Saccharomyces cerevisiae S288C: one gene and its partner. The protein of the gene in region 1 purifies or fractionates together with the protein of each later gene. This does not show direct contact. Each region holds a gene or a part of one and is shown on either strand. Other genes may lie near its edges.

What was found.
Region 2: the proteins of TRZ1 (region 1) and YMR099C purify together in Saccharomyces cerevisiae (affinity purification with mass spectrometry; 3 studies listed by BioGRID, with this or other methods). This does not show direct contact.

Annotation. Positions count from the first base shown.
Region 1 is NC_001143.9:586,289-591,208, forward strand, and holds TRZ1 (tRNase Z), read right to left. Parts: upstream 3,018-4,920; coding exon 501-3,017; downstream 1-500. Other genes in the region: VPS501 (sorting nexin family protein), read left to right, coding at 1-421; MTD1 (methylenetetrahydrofolate dehydrogenase (NAD(+))), read left to right, coding at 4,107-4,920. UniProt on the Saccharomyces cerevisiae protein: Zinc phosphodiesterase, which displays some tRNA 3'-processing endonuclease activity. Probably involved in tRNA maturation, by removing a 3'-trailer from precursor tRNA.
Region 2 is NC_001145.3:455,240-471,876, forward strand, and holds YMR099C (glucose-6-phosphate 1-epimerase), read right to left. Parts: upstream 9,589-16,637; coding exon 8,695-9,588; downstream 1-8,694. Other genes in the region: snoRNA-binding rRNA-processing protein UTP15, read left to right, coding at 1-317; CTF13 (Ctf13p), read left to right, coding at 586-2,022; SNO1 (putative pyridoxal 5'-phosphate synthase), read right to left, coding at 2,046-2,720; pyridoxine biosynthesis protein SNZ1, read left to right, coding at 3,169-4,062; putative GTPase MTG1, read right to left, coding at 4,185-5,288; ATP25 (Atp25p), read right to left, coding at 5,532-7,370; MYND-type zinc finger protein MUB1, read left to right, coding at 11,061-12,923; SRT1 (ditrans,polycis-polyprenyl diphosphate synthase), read right to left, coding at 13,206-14,237; LAF1 (Laf1p), read right to left, coding at 14,609-16,637. UniProt on the Saccharomyces cerevisiae protein: Catalyzes the interconversion between the alpha and beta anomers from at least three hexose 6-phosphate sugars (Glc6P, Gal6P, and Man6P).

The DNA of each region.
Region 1 (4,920 bases):
CATTCTGAAGCTAATCATATTATTTGATGAAAATGTAAGATTTTGCGAATCATTTGAATCCATCTTAAATCAAAGATTGAAGCTTGGTAAAATTCTAAGCATCATAGAAGTGGATCTAGACAAGAAGAAAAACTTTCTTGACAAACTATCTCCGGGAAACAACAACAGTAACAATGAAGACCTTAAGATACGCACGGCAGAGGATGAATACCGCATTGTATTAAAAAGATATAACCGTGTTAAGCAGAGCTGGGAGAAAATTATGGAAGATATCTTAAATGAACGGAAAGAATTTGAGAAGAGAGAAGCCGCCGAGGTTAATAGTTGTTTAAAATCAATAAGAGATTTGAACATGGATGAAAAGAAACACTATTTACAATTATGGCAAGACTTTGTACCAGATGAGCACATAAGCCAATGAATATGTACATAATAACGTAATTAAAGAAGATAATTTACTACTGAAAAAGCAACAATATAAGAAGTTAAGATGAATTATACTAATTTTTCTTGTGTTTCTTAAGTTTGACTTCCAAATCTTGTACGCTTTCAACGTCATCAACATCTTCTTCTTCTTCCTTTTCTTCAACAAATGCCTTATTCAGCAGTGGAAAAATACGCTGCTGTTCACCAATTTTCTCATAATCAACGATCATACTGTCGAAAGCAAAACAAAATTCTCTCGCCATCACATCAATATTATTGTCTAATTGGGGCAATTTGGGATATCTCTGGGAAAAGTGTGTTAAGATCAACTTCCTAGCATTCATTTTGTTCGAAACACCGATTGCTTCATTAATAGTGCAGTGTTTTTTCTTCACGGCATCCTCCAGTAGCTGATTTTCTAGTGTAGCTTCGTGAATTAATAGATCTGAATTATAGCCTATTTCGAGGGAAAATTTCTCGATGTTAGGTCTTGTATCGCCTGAATATGAAACCTTGAATGTATTATGCTCATTGTTTTCGTCCATTCGGAAGGTAATTGAGTTCGAATATGCCCAGTCACAATGTATAGCTCTGCAAGTTTGAAAATATTCTATCGATAAATCCTCATACATTTGTCTGATCAAGTCAACATCCCTATATGAAGAATCTCTATCCAGTTCCAGTTTTCTGTTTGATTCTTGATTGCTATTTTCTTTCAATATTTCATTGAACTCTGCCAAAGGAACAGATTGTGTCTGCATTCTTACAAACGAATCATTGATGAAATGCTCACAACTTATGTATTTGATTCTCTTTAAAATCTCTTTATTTTCTAGAACTAACCATTCATTAACAAATTTGTGATATTGCCATGGAGTAACCACATATATATAACTCGTTTCATCATCCTTGTTATATTTGTACCATTCATTTAGCACGCTGATTATTCCCAAATGGTGGTCTGCATGCAAGTGACTCAGATATATCATTTTCAAATCCTGAAATATTGACTTGACTGCTAGCTGAGAAAACATCCTGTGTATGGTACCTAAAGTATTTTCACCAGCATCTAGCATAATGTTTCTATTTATGGTATTTCCATCGGCGTCAGTAAAAGGAACTTTAACAAGTGTGGAGACAACGTTTCTATATTTAGAAGGCAATGCACTACCGGTTCCTAAGGTGATAATTTCAACGTGTTTCTTCTTTTCTGCTGAATTGTTAAAGTTATCCACGTGTAGTTGATTATTGATAACTGTATCGACATCAGCTAAGGGAAATTCTAATGGTTTTACATGTTCTTCGAAAATTTCTTGCCACGAGAAATCCGCCACTTCACCGTTGATGTTGCATTTCATCGGTTCTTCGTTCATCCGAAATGGTTCGAAAGTTACTGTCTTGTTTTGTGAAAAAATATGAATGTTATCCTTCTCTATTATTGTATTCAAAGGCTCTTCCTGGGATTTACACATAGATGTACCTCTGCTGAGTGGTGTATCGAATCTGTCGTAGAAGTCCTTGGAAAACACACGATCTGTTTTTGGTAAATTGTAATTATTTACTTGTAGTGCCTTTAATTTCAATGTGGTCAATGCAGAACCGAAAAATGATATCGTGTTTGGAGAAATTTTATTGTGGGATATCATATGATTTACTTTACCATAATTGTTTTTCTCAAATATGTCAATGAACGCGAATAGATTATCATTAATGGTAACCTCATCACCAAGAAAATAATACACCATGCCAAGCTCAGCACAATCATAATCCTTGAATTTTTCTACGAAAGCGTTCAAATATAGGTCATCTGGGATATCCAGGATCAATACTTTGGCAAAATGACGTTCATTCTCCAATACCTGTTCCGGAGTTACAACAATACCGTTATCCAAAGTAATTGTTTGGCCCTTGGTTAACTTTGCAAATAAGGGACCCTTCGGAACACCTAGTTTAATAGCTTCCTCCACTTTAAATTTACCCCTCACTGGACTGAATGAAATCTCGTAATTCGTAGAAACTTCCACTTTGGCGTCTAAGTCAGGCAACTCTACATTCAAGTGCGGATCACTAGAAGGATCGTACCTATCGGTGGGTGCATGTTTGGGGAACATTTTTGCTACTATGGAACGTAATACACCTTTTTGAAAACTATCGAAGACGCCTAACCTGTCTTCCCCCCCATTTTTCAGAACATTAAAGGATTTAACAGCTATTATCTTATCTTTATATACTTCCTTGTCTTTCATAATGTGATCGTTCAAGTCTATTCCGAATCTAAAGACGAAGTATCTCCAAGTGGAAACTATGTAATTCAAAATGTCATTGCCGTAATGCAAAACAAGATTACTTTTCCCTTGATCAGCAATAGTCAAAATCATTCCAGGTAATCCACCTATATCTGACCAGTTTAATTCACCAGTAAGGAAAATATCCTTCAATTTGGATATCCTGATCTTATTTTCAGTCAGACTCCTTTGGGATCCTTCACCAATTTTACCGAAGAAATACTTTTCCCCATGTGCAGACTGGACTAGCAGCAATGGGTGCTTTGTATCCGATGTAGGATGGGTGATGGGTATAAATGTGAACATCGTTGAAAACCTTCCAGGACTCTTTTCTTTGCGGGTGGTCGTTCTATTAGTCTGTTGCTTTTTAGGTCCCTTTCTGTATGATTTATACCTCCTGACCAAATGGGAAAATGCAGATGAGAAGGATTTCAAGTGTGAATGACTATTTAGTAGTATATTCGACAGTTTGAATTATGCTTGAGGAAGATTATTTCACTGCCGCTCTATATCCTTTCGGGTATTTTAGAGAGAGAAAAGGAGGCAAAAAACAACCACCTAGACAGAATCATTAAAAGGTGGTATGAACTGCCGAAAAAGGGCCCAAGACAAGGTTTAGGATGCTAATTATGTCTTCCCTTTACGTCAGTTATAGATTATGCGATGCCCAAAAATTTTTTTCACTGCGGGTAAGTGTTCTGAAATACCGAGCAGTTACTATGTAGAAACGCTACGTCCTCGTTTGAGATATCAGTGGGCGATATTAATGCAACCAGGAATACCGCAACCCCATTACAATGGCCTAGCAAACATTCTGTAACAGCAATTTTGATTTGTTGAGTGGGTTGCTCTTTTTTTTATAGCATGACAATGATATCCGTAGGAACAGTGACATCGTATTTCAAATATGCATTCGAAAAAAAATAACCCAACTGAGGCTGTAGTATATTGTTTATGCAGGCTGTCACCTCCATAAATTGATATTTTATGGCATTATTCGCTACTCCAAGGTACCCTAAGAGGCCCTACTTTTTTGCGAAAAACCCCAAGACAATTTATTCTTTTCCTAGTCCAAGTCCTGACAAAAAATGAAAGCCCTGCGACTCTTTTTGGCGGAGTCAGCCCGAATCAACACAAGCCCTAATATTCCCAATGAACTGGTAAATAGATTTCTACAACGTTGTAAAGACTAATATTACTGTCTTTACTATTATGATATATTGACTCAGTAGAAAAGGAAAAAAAGCAACTACGCAAAGTATTTAAGTGCCTTGCAACCAGCTTCTTCTTGGGCTGAGATACAATACCTCCTTGTCTATTCAAGTGTACAGTATCGCAAAGCACAGTAAAATTAATTCCTATCAACACAACCCATCAATATAAATCTATAGAGAAATGTCGAAGCCTGGTCGTACTATTTTAGCAAGCAAGGTCGCCGAAACTTTCAATACCGAAATAATTAACAACGTAGAGGAATACAAGAAGACACATAATGGTCAAGGTCCCCTTCTTGTGGGATTCCTAGCTAATAATGATCCTGCTGCAAAGATGTATGCTACATGGACTCAAAAGACTAGCGAGTCAATGGGGTTCCGCTATGACTTAAGGGTCATTGAAGATAAGGATTTTTTGGAAGAAGCGATAATACAAGCTAACGGCGATGACTCTGTGAACGGTATCATGGTATACTTTCCTGTTTTCGGTAATGCTCAAGATCAGTATTTGCAACAGGTTGTGTGCAAGGAAAAAGATGTAGAAGGGTTAAATCATGTTTACTACCAAAACCTGTACCATAATGTCAGATACCTGGACAAAGAAAACCGTTTGAAATCCATTCTACCTTGCACACCACTAGCTATCGTTAAGATATTGGAATTCTTGAAAATTTACAACAATTTGTTACCAGAAGGAAACAGACTGTATGGGAAGAAATGCATAGTAATTAACAGGTCAGAAATCGTCGGTAGACCACTGGCGGCGCTATTAGCCAATGACGGTGCCACAGTATACTCTGTGGACGTTAACAACATTCAAAAATTCACCCGTGGTGAAAGTTTGAAATTAAACAAGCATCATGTGGAAGACCTTGGGGAGTACTCTGAAGATCTGTTGAAAAAGTGTTCTCTTGATTCAGATGTGGTCATCACTGGTGTCCCTAGTGAAAATTACAAATTCCCCACCGAATACATCAAAGAAGGTGCCGTCTGCA
Region 2 (16,637 bases), on another chromosome or scaffold:
TGGCCAAAGAGTTGACACTTACTGTTCTTCAAGAACTACGCAAACGTGGCAAAGTTCGTGTAGCGCTATATGGTAGAGATGAATCTACATTAGAGCCGCTACTGAATTGGTGCTTAAAAGGTATTGAAGATGTGAGATCAGCATCTATTGTAGCGGATTGGGTCGCCGTGGTTTTAGAATTATATGGGAATACGTTAGAAAGCTCTCCAGTTCTTCAAGAATTGATGATAGATTTGAAAACTAAAGTTAGACATGAAATTCATAAGTCTAAAGAAGCTCAAAGAATTGAAGGTATGCTTCAACTTTTAACGAGTTAAGGAAATATTAGCATATAGATTTTAATTTGTATCTATTTTATAGATATTCAGGCATACATATATATCTCTTTCTCATTGTAATCGAAAAAAATAATATCTTCTCTTTTTATTGAAAAAAGGAACCTGTATAAATTTCATTTTAGAGTGCTTTGCATTTTGATACGTTTTCGCGTTTAACTACCTTCGAGGGCTTGAAAACAAAACATTGTGAGATGAGATGCTATCAACAGAAAGCTGACTGTGAGTCCCCAGAAGTCCATGTCGCTTGATGCCTTCTTTCAATCCTGTTAGATTCTTAGAGTTACCAATTGACATTAGAAAAGAAGTTTACTTCCATTTAGATGGTAATTTTTGCGGAGCACATCCCTACCCAATAGATATATTATACAAATCTAATGATGTGGAGCTTCCAGGAAAACCAAGTTATAAAAGGTCTAAGAGATCTAAGAAATTATTGAGATACATGTATCCTGTTTTTGCCACGTATTTGAACATTTTCGAATACTCTCCGCAACTCATTGAAAAATGGCTTGAGTATGCATTTTGGTTGCGCTATGATTGCCTGGTTTTGGACTGTTTCAAAGTAAACCATCTTTATGACGGAACGCTTATAGATGCATTAGAATGGACGTACCTTGATAATGAACTTCGACTGGCCTACTTCAATAAGGCCAGTATGTTAGAAGTTTGGTATACTTTTAAAGAGTACAAGAAGTGGGTGATAGACAGTGTTGCTTTTGACGAGCTTGACTTACTTAATGTAAGTAATATTCAATTCAACATTGATAATCTAACTCCACAACTAGTAGACAAATGCTTATCAATTTTAGAACAGAAAGATTTATTCGCAACAATCGGGGAGGTACAATTTGGACAAGATGAAGAAGTAGGAGAAGAGAAAGATGTTGATGTTAGTGGAGCTAATTCTGACGAAAACTCCTCACCTAGCTCCACAATTAAAAACAAGAAAAGGTCAGCATCCAAAAGATCACATTCAGATAATGGCAATGTGGGAGCAACGCACAACCAACTAACAAGTATTTCTGTTATAAGAACAATAAGAAGTATGGAATCCATGAAGAGCCTGCGGAAGATCACTGTGAGAGGAGAGAAATTATATGAGTTGCTAATAAATTTTCATGGGTTCAGAGACAATCCTGGTAAAACGATTAGTTACATAGTGAAACGTAGGATAAATGAAATACGCCTATCACGCATGAATCAAATTTCCAGAACCGGACTAGCTGACTTTACAAGATGGGACAACTTGCAAAAGCTTGTATTAAGTAGAGTAGCTTACATCGACCTGAATAGCATTGTCTTTCCCAAAAATTTTAAATCTCTGACAATGAAACGTGTAAGTAAAATCAAGTGGTGGAACATCGAGGAAAATATACTAAAGGAACTAAAAGTCGATAAGAGAACTTTTAAATCGTTGTACATAAAGGAAGATGATAGTAAATTCACAAAATTTTTTAATTTACGACACACAAGAATAAAAGAGCTTGACAAAAGTGAAATTAATCAAATAACATACCTTCGATGTCAAGCAATAGTTTGGCTATCTTTTCGGACTTTGAACCATATCAAGCTACAAAATGTATCTGAAGTTTTTAACAATATCATCGTACCTAGAGCATTGTTCGATAGTAAACGAGTAGAGATTTATCGATGTGAAAAAATCTCTCAGGTTTTGGTAATATAAAAATGTGGAAAACCGGCGGTATTTTAATTAGAAACAAACTGTCTGATAAACCAATCATGAAATCTTGTATCACTGTCAGCAAGCTCTGGATGAAAAGAAGTCACAAGGATATTATGATTTTGCGTTGCAGCTACAACCACATCCTTTCCATTCACTGGCAATTCATATAAACTTTTAACCGCGATAGGATCAAGAATTCTCTCGATCACGGGTGCGCGAATAAATGTAGCAGGAAAATTATCACAGCCAGGTATGAAATTGGAAAAATCACACTTTTGTGTAAAAGATTGAGCTTGTCTTCCAAATGCGTTTCTTCTCACGTCGACCTTCAACACACCTAAAGTCTTTACTAGGGCACTTTCGTTTTCTAATTGCGCGCTTAAAAAGATGAGACCAGCACAAGTACCCCAAACTACCTTTTCCGGATTATGAACAAATTCGTATAAACAAGGATATAAGCCTGTTCTTTGAGCGATGAGGGACATCGACGTAGATTCTCCTCCGGGAATAATTAAGGCGTCGCACTGGGCTAGATCCTCAGGAGTTTTTACAGTTTTGATTTCTATCTTTATTCCGTAGTCGTTTTCAGCCAAACACCTTTTTAAATGGTTGGTATGCTCCAAAAAGGCACCTTGCAACGCCAAAACCCCAATTACTTTCATCGACTTTCCGGACATTGTACTGTGGGTTTTGTGCATACTTTAAGATATGGTTTTTCTTTCTATTTAACGAAATGAAATAATAAGAAAAAAAAACCTGGTGGCATCAACGTGATTTTTGGAAGAAAGAATAAAACATTCAAAGAGTTCGTGACCAGTTATTGCTGATAAATGCCGTTTACTGACTCAGTTGGAATTTATGGCACTAGTTGGAATAGCTCATCATGACATAATGACTCAGCCGACAAGGGTAAGGGTTGAAAGCCGGGCTTTTTCACTACTTTTCAGGTAGCGCCGCCATTTCTTCATGACTCTGACACACTCTGCCGCACCGTTAGTTACGTCTGTAATTCTGGCTGCGAAGTACCATTTTCGATATAAATAGGAGGACGCTGAGAGCTATGGACGAAGTCTATGGTATTGTTGGAGAAACCTTTAGGAACGACTAGCAAATATACACAGTACTAATATTCAGTTAATTATCACGATGACTGGAGAAGACTTTAAGATCAAGAGTGGTCTCGCCCAAATGTTAAAAGGTGGCGTTATTATGGATGTTGTTACTCCAGAGCAGGCAAAAATAGCTGAAAAATCTGGTGCATGTGCGGTAATGGCATTAGAATCCATCCCAGCAGATATGCGTAAGTCAGGAAAGGTTTGCCGCATGTCAGATCCGAAGATGATTAAGGACATCATGAACTCCGTTTCCATTCCCGTCATGGCTAAGGTAAGGATTGGCCATTTTGTTGAAGCTCAAATTATTGAGGCATTGGAAGTTGACTATATTGACGAAAGTGAAGTCTTGACTCCTGCTGATTGGACTCACCACATTGAAAAGGACAAATTCAAAGTTCCATTTGTTTGTGGCGCTAAAGACTTAGGTGAAGCTTTGAGAAGAATTAATGAAGGCGCCGCTATGATTCGTACCAAGGGTGAAGCTGGAACGGGCGATGTCTCTGAAGCCGTCAAGCATATAAGGAGAATTACAGAGGAGATAAAGGCGTGCCAACAATTGAAGAGCGAAGATGACATTGCAAAAGTTGCTGAGGAAATGAGGGTACCAGTTTCTTTGCTGAAAGATGTTTTAGAAAAAGGTAAGTTGCCAGTAGTAAATTTTGCTGCAGGTGGTGTAGCAACGCCAGCCGATGCCGCATTGTTAATGCAGTTGGGTTGTGATGGTGTGTTTGTTGGCTCAGGAATTTTTAAATCATCTAATCCTGTAAGGTTGGCCACTGCAGTAGTAGAGGCTACCACTCACTTTGACAATCCCAGCAAATTGTTGGAAGTATCTAGTGACTTAGGAGAGTTAATGGGTGGTGTATCAATCGAATCTATTAGTCATGCTTCCAATGGAGTAAGACTTTCCGAAATTGGGTGGTGATTTCTTTGAACAGGTATTTTGAGCATTATAACACTTTTTCCCCCCTCAACTTTGTATTACTCGGTACACATTGTAAAATGATCTAATTATTAGATAAGCTTATGTATGCTGGATATTATTTACTAGAATACTTGATTGGGGTTCCCTTTTAGTTTGTTAGACAATCCCTCATACGAAAGATCTCCTAACTTTTCCAATTGATCATTTACATAGTTTTTATAAGAAAACTCGTCATTATTCAACAGTACCTCAGGGTCAAATATGATACCCTTTCCATGCAACCTCCATTTGTTAGTCCACTCGATAGCCGTTGATTTTTCATTTTGGCTTTTATTCACTTGAAGCCTTCTTAAAACATCATATATATCATTTGTGGGAGAATTGGTGCTTCCAGGGTAAAGCTCTGTTCTTCCATCGTTCAAATTTTGCAAGTTCATTAGGTATAAAAGGTAATCCGCTTGAAATATTGGATCTACAAGGTTATTTTTAACACTACCACACAACGCCAGTCCTAGCATTCTATTATGATCTGAAACGCGACCGGGAACACCGATTCCTGGAGTATCTATCAAGTATATTTCATTTCTTGATTCCGTATTCCGTGAAGTTACTCTAATAACCTCGCTTGTGGCTCTAGTAACACCAGCTTCTGCACCAGTTTTGGCTACTTTCTTAAATTTTCTTCCCATATTCACTTGATTGTGAAAAATTGTCCTCAAGCTATTTATTAAAGTAGATTTTCCAACATTTGGCATGCCAGTAATCAATGCTCGGTATCCCATAGGTAGATATCCGCCATTTGTTTCTAGTTCGTAATTTTGCCATTCTAGTATTTTTAGTAGATTCCTGACGTCAGTTTTGTTTCGGCAATCCAGTAAAATAAACTTTTCTCCCAGCTCTTCATGCCAATTCTTTAACTTTCCTATATATGGCTTATTGCCGGGCATAAGATCCTTTCTAGTGTATACCACTAATTTCATCACATCGTGTTCCTTTCTTGCTATTCGATCGAAAACCACATTCCTTGTAGATAACGGGGCACGTATATCACGTAGTTCTATTATCATATTCATTTGAGGAAGCAACTTTTCAAATGTTTTAAGAGCTTTGACTTGGTGTCCCTTGAAATCAGTGAGAGGCATACTGTACTTTGGAAATTCATATCTTGGTGTGAAGGATGAAACGTTGGAAATTATTTTCCTAGTTCCTCTCACATTTATGTGCATTTCTGTATTTGATTTGGCTTTTTTGCATTCAGGTCTGAGTAATGAGCATTATCATTCGTTCTTTCTTCTCCTAATAACTAAACCAAATTGTTTCGAAAAGACAAAAATTGTGTACTTTTGACATGATGGTCCGTGTTCTTTGATCTGCGGCAAAATGAACCTACCATGTGGCAGAATTAAATATTTGATTCAAATATAAATAAGGCGAACGACGAGAGATTAAGATATTATATACAGGTAATACTATTGATTGTTTGTTCCACGGACTAGGAATTCTTCCAATGTGGAATTCTCCATTCCAGCGGTTTTTAATAACGCTTTAATGGAGTTGCATAACTCCGGAGTTACGTTAACATTTAAACGTCTGATCCATAGCAAATGACCATTATTTACGATTTTCGATATAACGTGACTATCACCGCTTTGATTGATAACATTTATAAATTCATTCCAGGGCCTTTTGTCCTGACCTTCCCCTTCCGTTGGTGTGATAGCTTCCCAGACTTGAAGTAGCTTATTCCAGTCTTTGATTTTGGCCAAGTTTTGCAATATTGAGACAATCATGCCTGAAGTCAACTTATCTCCAAATGTTTGGAAAATGTGGTCTATTGTCTCGTAGAGTGATCTCAATTTTACCCGTTCATCCGCGACCATGGAATTTAAAAGAAGGGATATTACCACTTCATCGTAAACAACTGAGCCATCGTCCTCTGTTTGTAGACCTTTAAATAGGTTCAAAGCTCTGATAATCACCCTATTTTGCTTTACTAGGTTAAAGTATGAATGACTAGAATGCTGCGTTTTCAAAACCATTTCTAAAAGAGCGATTAGATCTTCCCTTATTAACTCTTGCCCCAACGATTTTTTTAAAAGTAGATAATCCTTGAGGAAAACACGATCTGAATAAAATTGTGGGTCTGCTTTGTTTAGAAGTATCGCATATTCTAGTCGTAGTGGCCAATATGCAGCCGATTGATTTATGGTTAAAAAAGTTGAATGTTCGTCAAATAAGGACTTCCATTGAACAACATCTACTTTCCTCTCTTGTCCTACCAAATCCTTTAAAGTATTTTTAACATGCTCCAAAGTACGTATATTGTGAGTTTCAGTACCACTACTACTCTGAATTATCTTATTGGCTCCTTTGAAGTCTTCCTTTTGTAGAAAGTATCTTAAATTACTTAGCCCGTTTGGGTTGATAGTTGAATACCTTCTCCTTTGCTGGGCCAGTCTTCTTAGGCCTAAAAGAATATTATTGTTGCTTGAAATTTCATTTACCCCTGAAATAGTAGGGACATTACCTGAATCTATATTTTGGAACTTAGATTTCTCATTTTCAGGTGCATACAGCTCTTCTAAATTCAATTCATTACGCCTTCTCTGTGTCAAAATATTTACAAAAATACCATCGACACGACAATCAATCATATACCAAGCCTCACTATTTAAGTCTTTTGCAGAGCATTCAGAGCTTCTACCTAATAGTTTACTAAGGTTGGATTTTCTTGCTAATCTTCTTTTTCTTCTACTTTCTTGTCGCTCATTAAAGTTTCCTTCAACGTATGCACTACTACAGAATTCGTGCTTCAAAAACTTGTTCAACTCTAAGAAACTTTTATGACAATGTTTGGTAGATCTTGCTGTACATATGACCATGAAGTCACCCAACTTATTAACGGCTGAAACAGAGTTTGGGCTTTTCTTCCGTAAATCGAAAACCAGGAAGTCATCCAGACCAAGTTTACCAGTTAGGAGGTCTGCTATTTTTCTTAATGAGTTTGGAGAGGTTTTAGGTATCTCCAATTCTTTGTTCATCGTGTGGTGGTTATTTTTCTTACCTTCCATTAGTTCCTTTTCATTGTCAACAATCCTGAGGTACCAAGGTGTTTCCAGAGGGGTAAAAGTAGACTTTTTGGATACACGACTTTGTTCATGACTGTCATTTTTGCCCTTTGTCGAGTAATAAACTGCTGTGATGTGACTATGAAGAAAATAAGGGCCCTTTTTGAATAATATGGTAAAAGGAATATTGGCCACGCCTATCCTCTTGCCATGGAAAGGTAGTAGACAGAATTTATTCATGTCAACAAACCTCAATTTTTGAATAAGCAGGCTATTACACTTAATCTTCACTTGGTGTCGATCTTTCTTAGTAGCTTAACTTGCTTTTTTTTTTTTTGGCTGAATGGTCCTCATTGTTTCTCTTTATCGGGATGAAAAGCATAATTATCAGAAGATTGCAAGTATATTAGAAGAGAGGTTAGAAAAAGATGTCAAGAAATACTAGTAAAAACAAATACCATTACTGTGTACTAGAGTACTATTTAAGAAAGACGGATTATTTCTAAAGTTACGATAGTTCGGATGATTGTGACCCCATTTCTAATAAAACCAATATTATCAGGTATATAGAAATGCTGCAGGATCTTTTCAAGCATATATGATACCACCAAAAAAGTGTAAAATCCCATATAATATAACGTTCTTCTATTTGTTTCGTACAGTTCGCTGATTGGTATTATTACATCAGGAATATTGTATGTTCGCTTCGTTAAAGTTTGATCGCTGTTTCCTATATGCGGCGTCTAATATATAGATGATGAGAATTTGACAAATAATGAGAATTGTTAGGATCCAATTATACTTAACAGCTATAATAATAGTACACAAAATATACTAAAAGTTCTCCTCGAGGATATAGGAACCCTCAAATGGAATCCATATTTCTACATAATAGTATTACGATTATTCTTCACTCTGTTTTACATGTTTCATTATCCTATTACATTATCAATCCTTGCATTTCAGCATCCTCTAACTTCGATGACAGCTTCTCATACCTTATGCCATCATCTAACACCGTATATCATAATATACTGGTAGTGTGACTACTAGTTGATAGACGATAGTTGATTTTTGATTTTTATTCCAACAGTCCTGATGATAAGTTACTGTCAAAGACATAATTATTATCAAAATATATGGTATTAGATGGACTGGTAAAAGTACAAAACTTCAGAAATTTGTCCGTGATAGTTTAATGGTCAGAATGGGCGCTTGTCGCGTGCCAGATCGGGGTTCAATTCCCCGTCGCGGAGATTTTTTTATCAGACCAGGTGGGTGTTGTTTGATCATCACAAAGTAGAATTCAGTGTCATTTTTAAAAACGTTACTTAATTTTACGATAATATGCTGCCAGAACAAGTTTAACAATACGCTTTTGGCAATTTGTTCTTGCTGCACTTGGAATTAAATAAGAGTCTTAGTAAACAGAATGTTGCTTTAGTTGTTCGTCAACAAAAACAAAGATAAAGGATGGAGGTAATCAAATAGCCCACATTAAGAAAAGTATACAACTGGGAATTTACTTTATAAAAATTACCGTTGCTACATTTTTTTATATTATTTATTGAATAGCTTGATATTTCAATTCTTCTTTGCAAAGTAATTGATAAGCATTCCATTTTTTACCAGGAGCCAAGGAAATAAAATCATGAACATGACCAGGTTCAATACATATCATTTGTTGGTAACCAGTTTTTGGTTCGAAATCGGCCATCCCTTGAGACTTCTCAATCCATGGATTCCAAACAACAGTGTCGGGCAAGTTGTATCTTTTTAGAGTGTGAATTTGAACGCCCTTGTCAACTATTTGAATGGCCCGTTCGGCGCTGACATTCTGATAAATTACATCGGTTTCTTGATTGAAGGTAACGACTGGGTGCTTGTCGACGTAGGATTCCTTCAACAGTTGGTCATAAAGTTTCATGCCAGCTAAATTAGAGACCATTGTTCCTTCAATATCTTCGATACGGAAGTATGTATGGAACAACCAGTTGAACTTTAATTCCTTGGAACTAGATGTGTTTTCTACTTCTATGGCAGTTTTCAAATAATCGGAGCCTAATTCAACAGTCAAAATCAAAAGATAATCCATTGGCCACAATTTGGTCAATTCTGGGTTAGCAATTTCTGGTTTCAAGCCAAATTGTACGGTCGGTGGGTTTTCCTTAGTTTGACCCAAAAACTCCCAAGTAGAATTTCTTGCAAGACCATGTTGAGGTAATTTACTCAAATGTTCATCGGTGCTATTTTTCCCGAATACAGGAAAGACCAAAGGTATACCACCTCTCACAGGTTTGCTACCATCCAATTTAGCAGCAGTAGACAACCACAACTGTTCTTCAGATTTCAATTTCCAAGAATAAACTGTAGCACCGTACTTTAGAATATGAACGCTGGTGGTCTCATCAGCTGGATGAGTCAAAACAACTTCTTTATCAGTTTCTTTGATAGGCATGGCTTTGTGTTTTAATCTTTCTTGGTTCAAGTTTTACCAAAGGCTTATAATGAACCTCAGAATCACCTCTTTATTCATTTCTAGGGACCTACTAAGTTTTCTTTCGGCGTGAAAAATAAAAGGCGCATTGGTGACCCCATTTGCGATACCTTTTTATGGAAAGACAGCTTGAAGAAAGACCTTGTTATCATTGACTGCGTCTAGCGAACGAGGACATCTACACACTATTTCTTCTGCTGCAATGATTGATGCCGTTTAGATGAATGGTCGGGACGTAACTTATGTTTTAAGAAGAAGGCACTTTTCCTGGTGCAATAGATGAATCTCGGTTTCAAGTTAACTATATAAATATGGGGTTGGCATTATATGTCATGCTTTATTATAATTAGGCATATAAAACTACATGGTTATGAAAGGCGCTGGCAGTAAAAGGGTTGTTTGTCAATGGCAAGAATTAATCATTCTCGCATTGAAATATATGTAGATCGAGGTGAACTGTTAGATGGTCCATCAGACATTTATTATTTTGACTTATGTATTTCCCTCTCAATTTTGTTATCAGTAATCGAGTCATGTGTACTTTAAAGTTCATATTCTCACGTTTTTCGCAAGATATTAGCCGCCAATAGCAACTCCGAATAATAAGAGCTATATAAAGGCCGTTGAAGCCCACGGAAAGAGAAAGAAAACTAATAGTTATTACAATATAGACCGTTGGTTTTTTCTTTCCCTCCTGGAGCAGCTGCGTATAGTTACTACCTAAGAAGTGGGCTAGAAGTTGGCTAGAAGTGGGCTACTTAATATATATCTTTGGATACATAGAAAGGAACCAGGAAAAAGGAAAATTATTTAGATGGCTTCCATAAGTTTATGATGGTTCAAACGGCAAAAAGCCTTTTGACTATTTTTCTTGGTTGAACTATCTTCTTATTAGGCCTACTACAACAATGCATCGAGCTAGGATAACAACTAGAATACTTTGGTTATGTATTGTATGGGTGTTCAGTGGCAAAATTTGAGAGTTGGGTTATTGATGGTCGGCCTATACAAACGAAAGACCTAGAGCAGCTCACAAGGAAGAAAGTGCTGGACAAACTTCCCTACCTGAAGAGAAAAATATCCGTTTTTTATATAGTTTCTGTAAGTGTGCACAGTGACTTCCTCATTAGAGCGATATAGATAATTTGAGACTTTATTTATTTTTTATTTTTGTTGGTTCTCATATTCAACCTTCCATTTATCTAAGTTGAACCATTAAACATTCCCTTTTTTACTTTGCTAATTTCATCATACCCATTGATCAACTATAAGTGAAACTTGGGAATCTTCCATTATACAAAGGTGAGGTCCCTATTTGTTGCATTTTTCAATTCATTTCCCTGGGAGTTTTTGTTTGTTTTTGCTATATTAACATATCATAACAGCGTATAGAACGTAATTTGAAATATTCAAAACAAAGAAAAGGTAAAGAAATGAGAGACTCTAATCATCGATCATTAACGTCGAACAAGCCTATAGTAACAATAACATCTACTGTCTATGACCGAAGGGCATTGGATATCAACTCTAGTATTCCGTTAATAAACTCCCTAAACTACTTAACATATCTAACCTCTAATTCATCAAAAGTTAGGGAAACGGTAGCTAACGACGGTGCTCTCGAAAGATTAGTCTCAATATTGAGGAGTTGTCATTTAAGTTTGTTTGAGTTGCTGGATTTGGATTTAGAAAATTTTAATGAGCACGAAAACATAAAGGATCTATGGAAGGAGAAAAGACTAGCACTATGCGCTTGGAAATGGACTTTAACATTTCAGTGCTTAGTATTGACAGGTACTAGAGGGACAGAACAAATTCGTAAAAAAGTGGTAATGTCTGGGGTCTTATCTGTGCTGGTCACAGTATTGGATAACTATTTACTATATCATAAAAATTACGACTTCATCAAAGATCAAACAATGACCTTTGACTTCAAAGGGATAACCACGGAGACAATGTATAAATTCATGAGAAAAGATGAGAATGAAACATATCAGCAGTATATAGAGTTCATTACAGGTCAGGATAAATTGAAGTTGTCAACTGACAAAAATTTTCTAAACGAACGATTAGTGGCACCGTCTATGACAATTCCAACTGATTTTAGTGATATATGGGGCCGGTTTGCAGACCTAGCTAGCAATTTTGAACCTGACCAGGAAAGACACGACGACGACATTGATATTGATAGTGAAGTAGAAAGTGAAAATTTTGATGCACATAAGAATTTCTTTTCGCAACCAGACATTAATAGACCTACAATTTCCACTCCACGTGAATTTTTTCTCGGAAGAATTGTCCCCAAACAAGACGACGTTATATGGTCGCTTCAGTTATTAGCTTTTGTTTCGAAGTATACATATATGAAATCAACCCTTCAAAATGTTGAGCTGGTTGAATCCCTATCGTTCAGAAGTATGGCTTACAAAATTAAACAGAGAATCTCAGAAGAGAATGACTTAGAAGAACAAGAAAGAGACGTAACTGTAAAATTGTCTTCATTATATCCTTATTTATCGAAAAATCCTGAAAACAATTCCAAAGTTAAGGCACTAGATACTAGCAAAATGGATCCATTTTTCAAAGAATTAGAAGAACTCTCAAACAGATGTCAACAAGAAGAACAAAATGAAATATGTAATAACCACTGTCCCGTTCTTAATTTGTTTGAGCGCTACCGTGTACCGAAACCTAGCGACGACAATGCCTATGGCAAAGACAAGGAAAGAATTAATTTAAGGAAGAAAATATCTGATAACTTTGAAAGGCGCTGGAGCTACGATAAAATGAAAAAGGAATTAACAAATATTGTTTACAAAAACAAGGTACTAACAAATGTTGTAAACATCTTCCCCTTAGTCGAAAAATATACAGTGAGCGCAGAAAATACACATGATGTTATATATTGGAGTTCTGTCATCATGAGAAATTCATGTCGAAAAAATGAGATCTTAGGTGTGCGTCAGTGTGCCAATTTTTCGTGCGGAAAATGGGAAGATTTTCCAAGACAATTTGCAAAATGTCGTCGATGCAAAAGAACGAAATATTGCTCACGAAAGTGTCAATTAAAAGCATGGGGATATCATAGGTATTGGTGTCACGAAGTTGGATCAAGTCATATGAGATCCACGAATACTACCACAGGTGTCAATACCCCAAATGAGCCTAGTTCTTTAAATGCCACCGCTACTACAGCAGCTGATGTTTCGAATTCTACCAGTACGTTCACTCCTAATATATCCACCACCGTACCTGATGAAATAAGCAATAGGGATGAAAATAGCATACCTGAGTAAAGTACAAGGGGATTTCGATGACCTAGGTTTAACAAGATCATGAAATATTCATTAACGGAGTTTTTTGTTTTCGCTTTTTTTATTTTTTGTTCCTAATTTTTTTTTTTTTTACATTTTATTAGCTATACACTTGGCGCAAGGATATTTTATATACCGGATATAATAGATAATTAAAAGACTACTAATTAAAAATGATGTAATATGGTAATAGGTATGGAAGAATCAGGGAGTTTTCAGAATGTTCTTTGCCCTCTCTTGGGCTTTCTAGTTTTGCACTTTTACTTATTCATCTCCTGTAACCGAAACTGAAATGGGGGGGTTTGGAAAGTTGTACAAAGACATAGCTGTTTTCTTTTTTTTAAATATTGAAGGAACGCTTTCATGTATTTTTTCAAACAATGAGTGATTCTTCTCATTATATTTTTGAATGGTGGAAAAGAAGGACCATTTGAGAATCATCAGGTACATAGCAAAGAAGCTAAAATTTGGCCACAACGTATCACTAAATTCAATGGTGGCATTTTCATGTACTTGCCATAGCATATAGTCTGAGAGCCTCCTATGCCCACTTGTTCTGATTAATAATTCACATTTATTGGAATGGAAACCCATGTACATTTTATTAGTAAATTTTCTTATATTAATCCTTGGTGATTTATTTTCCAAATGGTCTTCAACTGAATCACGAATAGTATGTAACATATCATTTCTTGAAGTGTAAGGAAAACATATAAATAAAGTGAAATCGTCTCCATCCTGTGTGATTTCTTCCACTTTTTTAATTTTTTTTCTCATTTCTGGAGATAGTAAAGATTGATCACCTACTATTCTTATTTTAGATCCGTATAAGGGATCCTTATAGTCCTTGGCTCTTTTTGCGAATTCATCAAGCTTTACCGTAAACAAATTCATTAGCGTATCTACTTCTTCTTTTGGTCTATTAAAATTTTCAATAGAAAATGCATAGGCGGAAACACATTTTACACCCAATCTTTTGCAGATATACAGTAGTGTTAGTAACGTTAACCCACCAGCTTCATGGCCTTTTTTTACTGGTAGCCTTCTTGACTTGGCATATCTCCGGTTACCATCCATGATAAAGGAGACATGTTCAGGCACTGGCCCTACCCTTAATGCTTTTATCAAAATATTCTGAAGATTTACATAAAACCATGAAAACAAGCTTAATGACATAACCCACGCAAATACTCTCTGAAATATACTTTTCACTGCGAAGCACATCTGTTCTTTGGTTTCTACCAAAAGCCTTTTTAGGGCTACAAACTGAATCTGAATAATACTGGGCATTTTCATTATGGTCAACAGAAACGTCCTATGTTTGAAAGGCAGCCTGTTCTTTATAAGTTGATAAATTGAGAAAAGTGCACCAAATCTTAATCTACTCTGTGTGTATTTTTAGGTCCCTTAAATAACAGAAAAAGTATAGCTTTAGCCGCCGAGGTCCACTCAGTTTGGAGTAGTTACCCTTAACAGGCACTCACTCCGTTTTGTTCTTTCGAAGAGATACGTTATAGTATATCGGCAACAAATGATAGGCTCATTGTTAGCGTTCATTAATTATTAGATTAAAATTTATTTAAGTGTATCGTGTTTCTTTACTTTATGTACGAAGATTAATATGCATTTAAAGGTATCATCCACGGAAAAAAAATACTCCATCAGCGTTAGCGGAAGTTATTAACTACTGTACCGCAGTCTACGCAATAATAGTTTCTATCTTGTTGGTCATTAGCACCAGAAAAAGCCTCAAACCTTGAACCGTTACAAACATTGCAACGGATAGGTAAATTCATTGCGCTCGTTGGAGTGGTAGGCCCATGTGCATTGGAGAAAATAGATGACATGCTTTCCCTTGGTGTTCTTGGCTGTGCATTACTGCCGAGTGTTTTTAGTGATGTACTGCTTTTGGGACATATATTAGAGTATCCACGTCCCGTTGCATAGCCTTTTCCAGTATTAGTATACGCCGCTGCCGGTTGGCCAGCCAAGTTTGATTTCGCTCTCGAGTTGAAGCTTCGACTCAAAGAATGCAAAGAATCAGAACTGTTAAACCTTCTCCGAACCTCTCTATTGTATTCTTCTAGTTTGAGTAACACGCGCTTTCTTATAACAGAGGGCATATCTGCTCTAAACACACGAATAGTCCCTACGTTATCAGTACTGATCAATATCGTTCCAATTGCGTCAACGACATCTGGGATAGCACTGGTGGCGGAAGCATTAGAAATTGAGCCTGGTTTAGAATTGTAGCCCAAAGACGACTCTACATCTGACATTATGCCATCGTCGTTACTCCGACTCAAAACATCGAAACTATCGGATGTCTGAAAAAACTCTAGAGATAGCTCGCAGATAACATCGTTAGACAAAGATAATGTTTTCGAAGTTTCTGGCGGTGCAATGCTAACACAAGTAACAGGGGCATTGTGTGCATGAAAAGAAATGTAATCCGTATTTTTGATATAATGATCGTTGCTATGATGAGGCAAGGGAAGTAAGTTAGTAAGTTTTAAATGATGATGTGGTTTTTCTTCGTTATTCTGGCTGGAAGACCTACTCATTGATTTACTAAATATGCTTCTCAAACTTCCGGACCGAGCCAATCCCTTTGGTTTCCTTTTAGGTTCGTCTTGATCATTCTCTCTATCCGAAGACTTTAACCTCCAGCCGTAAACCCAATGGTCATCACTACTATTTACAACGATTGGCTGACCATGCCAGATGGACAATTGTGCCTTGTGTTGGGAAGATCCGCTATGGAAGCCTTTCAATACCTCTAGAAGCTTCCTCTGTTCTAAGTCAAAAATTCTTATCCTCGAATCATTCGATGTAACTACTAAGCGGAAAGAATTGTCCAGTTGAGATCTAAAAGCTTGCAAACCCGTCACACGTGGACCATGACGAATTTTTGAGTCAGTTTCCGTGACCATGACGTGAGCGTTTTGTTCTTGTGTTTGTCTATCAGCTACGTGAAATGAAGAAACTGGAGTGAGACCTCTGGTCATCAGAATATGAACGTATCCATTAAATGTTCCTATTATAGTGTATTTTCCCTCCTCAGGGGATAATGTAACAGATGTTATTAAGTCTTGACAATCGTACTCAAAGCTAACTTCATCATCCAGTATAGACCATAACCTGCATTTGTGATCCAGACAGCCGCTAATGAAAAATCTATCGTCGGTGGGGTGAAATTCCACACAAGTGACAAAATCAGGATGTATGAATGTCTTAAGTGAATTTTTCCTATCGGGATGCCATAGTTTTACTGTCTTATCCATCGATGCTGACAAAATAAAATTATTTTTAGACCAATTTATATCCAGAACATCTTGCACGTGTTCTTTATACAGTCGCAAAGGCGTTGGGTGAAAGACAGGCGCATACAAATTCAATAATTTTTCCTTCTCTTCGTATTTCTCTGTAGCAGAATCCAAAAATTGTTTTTCTTTTGGATTGTTCAATGAACTGACCTGCTGTTTGATCCGCATCGACTTGGCTCGTGCCTCTTTATTTGATTCCGCACTCGAGTCCAATTCGGCTCTTTCAACTGGAGAGCCAATAACTTTCCATATTCTTATTTTACCATCTTTGCTACCAGTGGCCATAAATTTTCCATCGCGGCTAAACTTTGTACTCCATATAGCTTTAGAGGTTGGTTCAGATGATTTGGAAGTGGAGGTAACCGTTTCA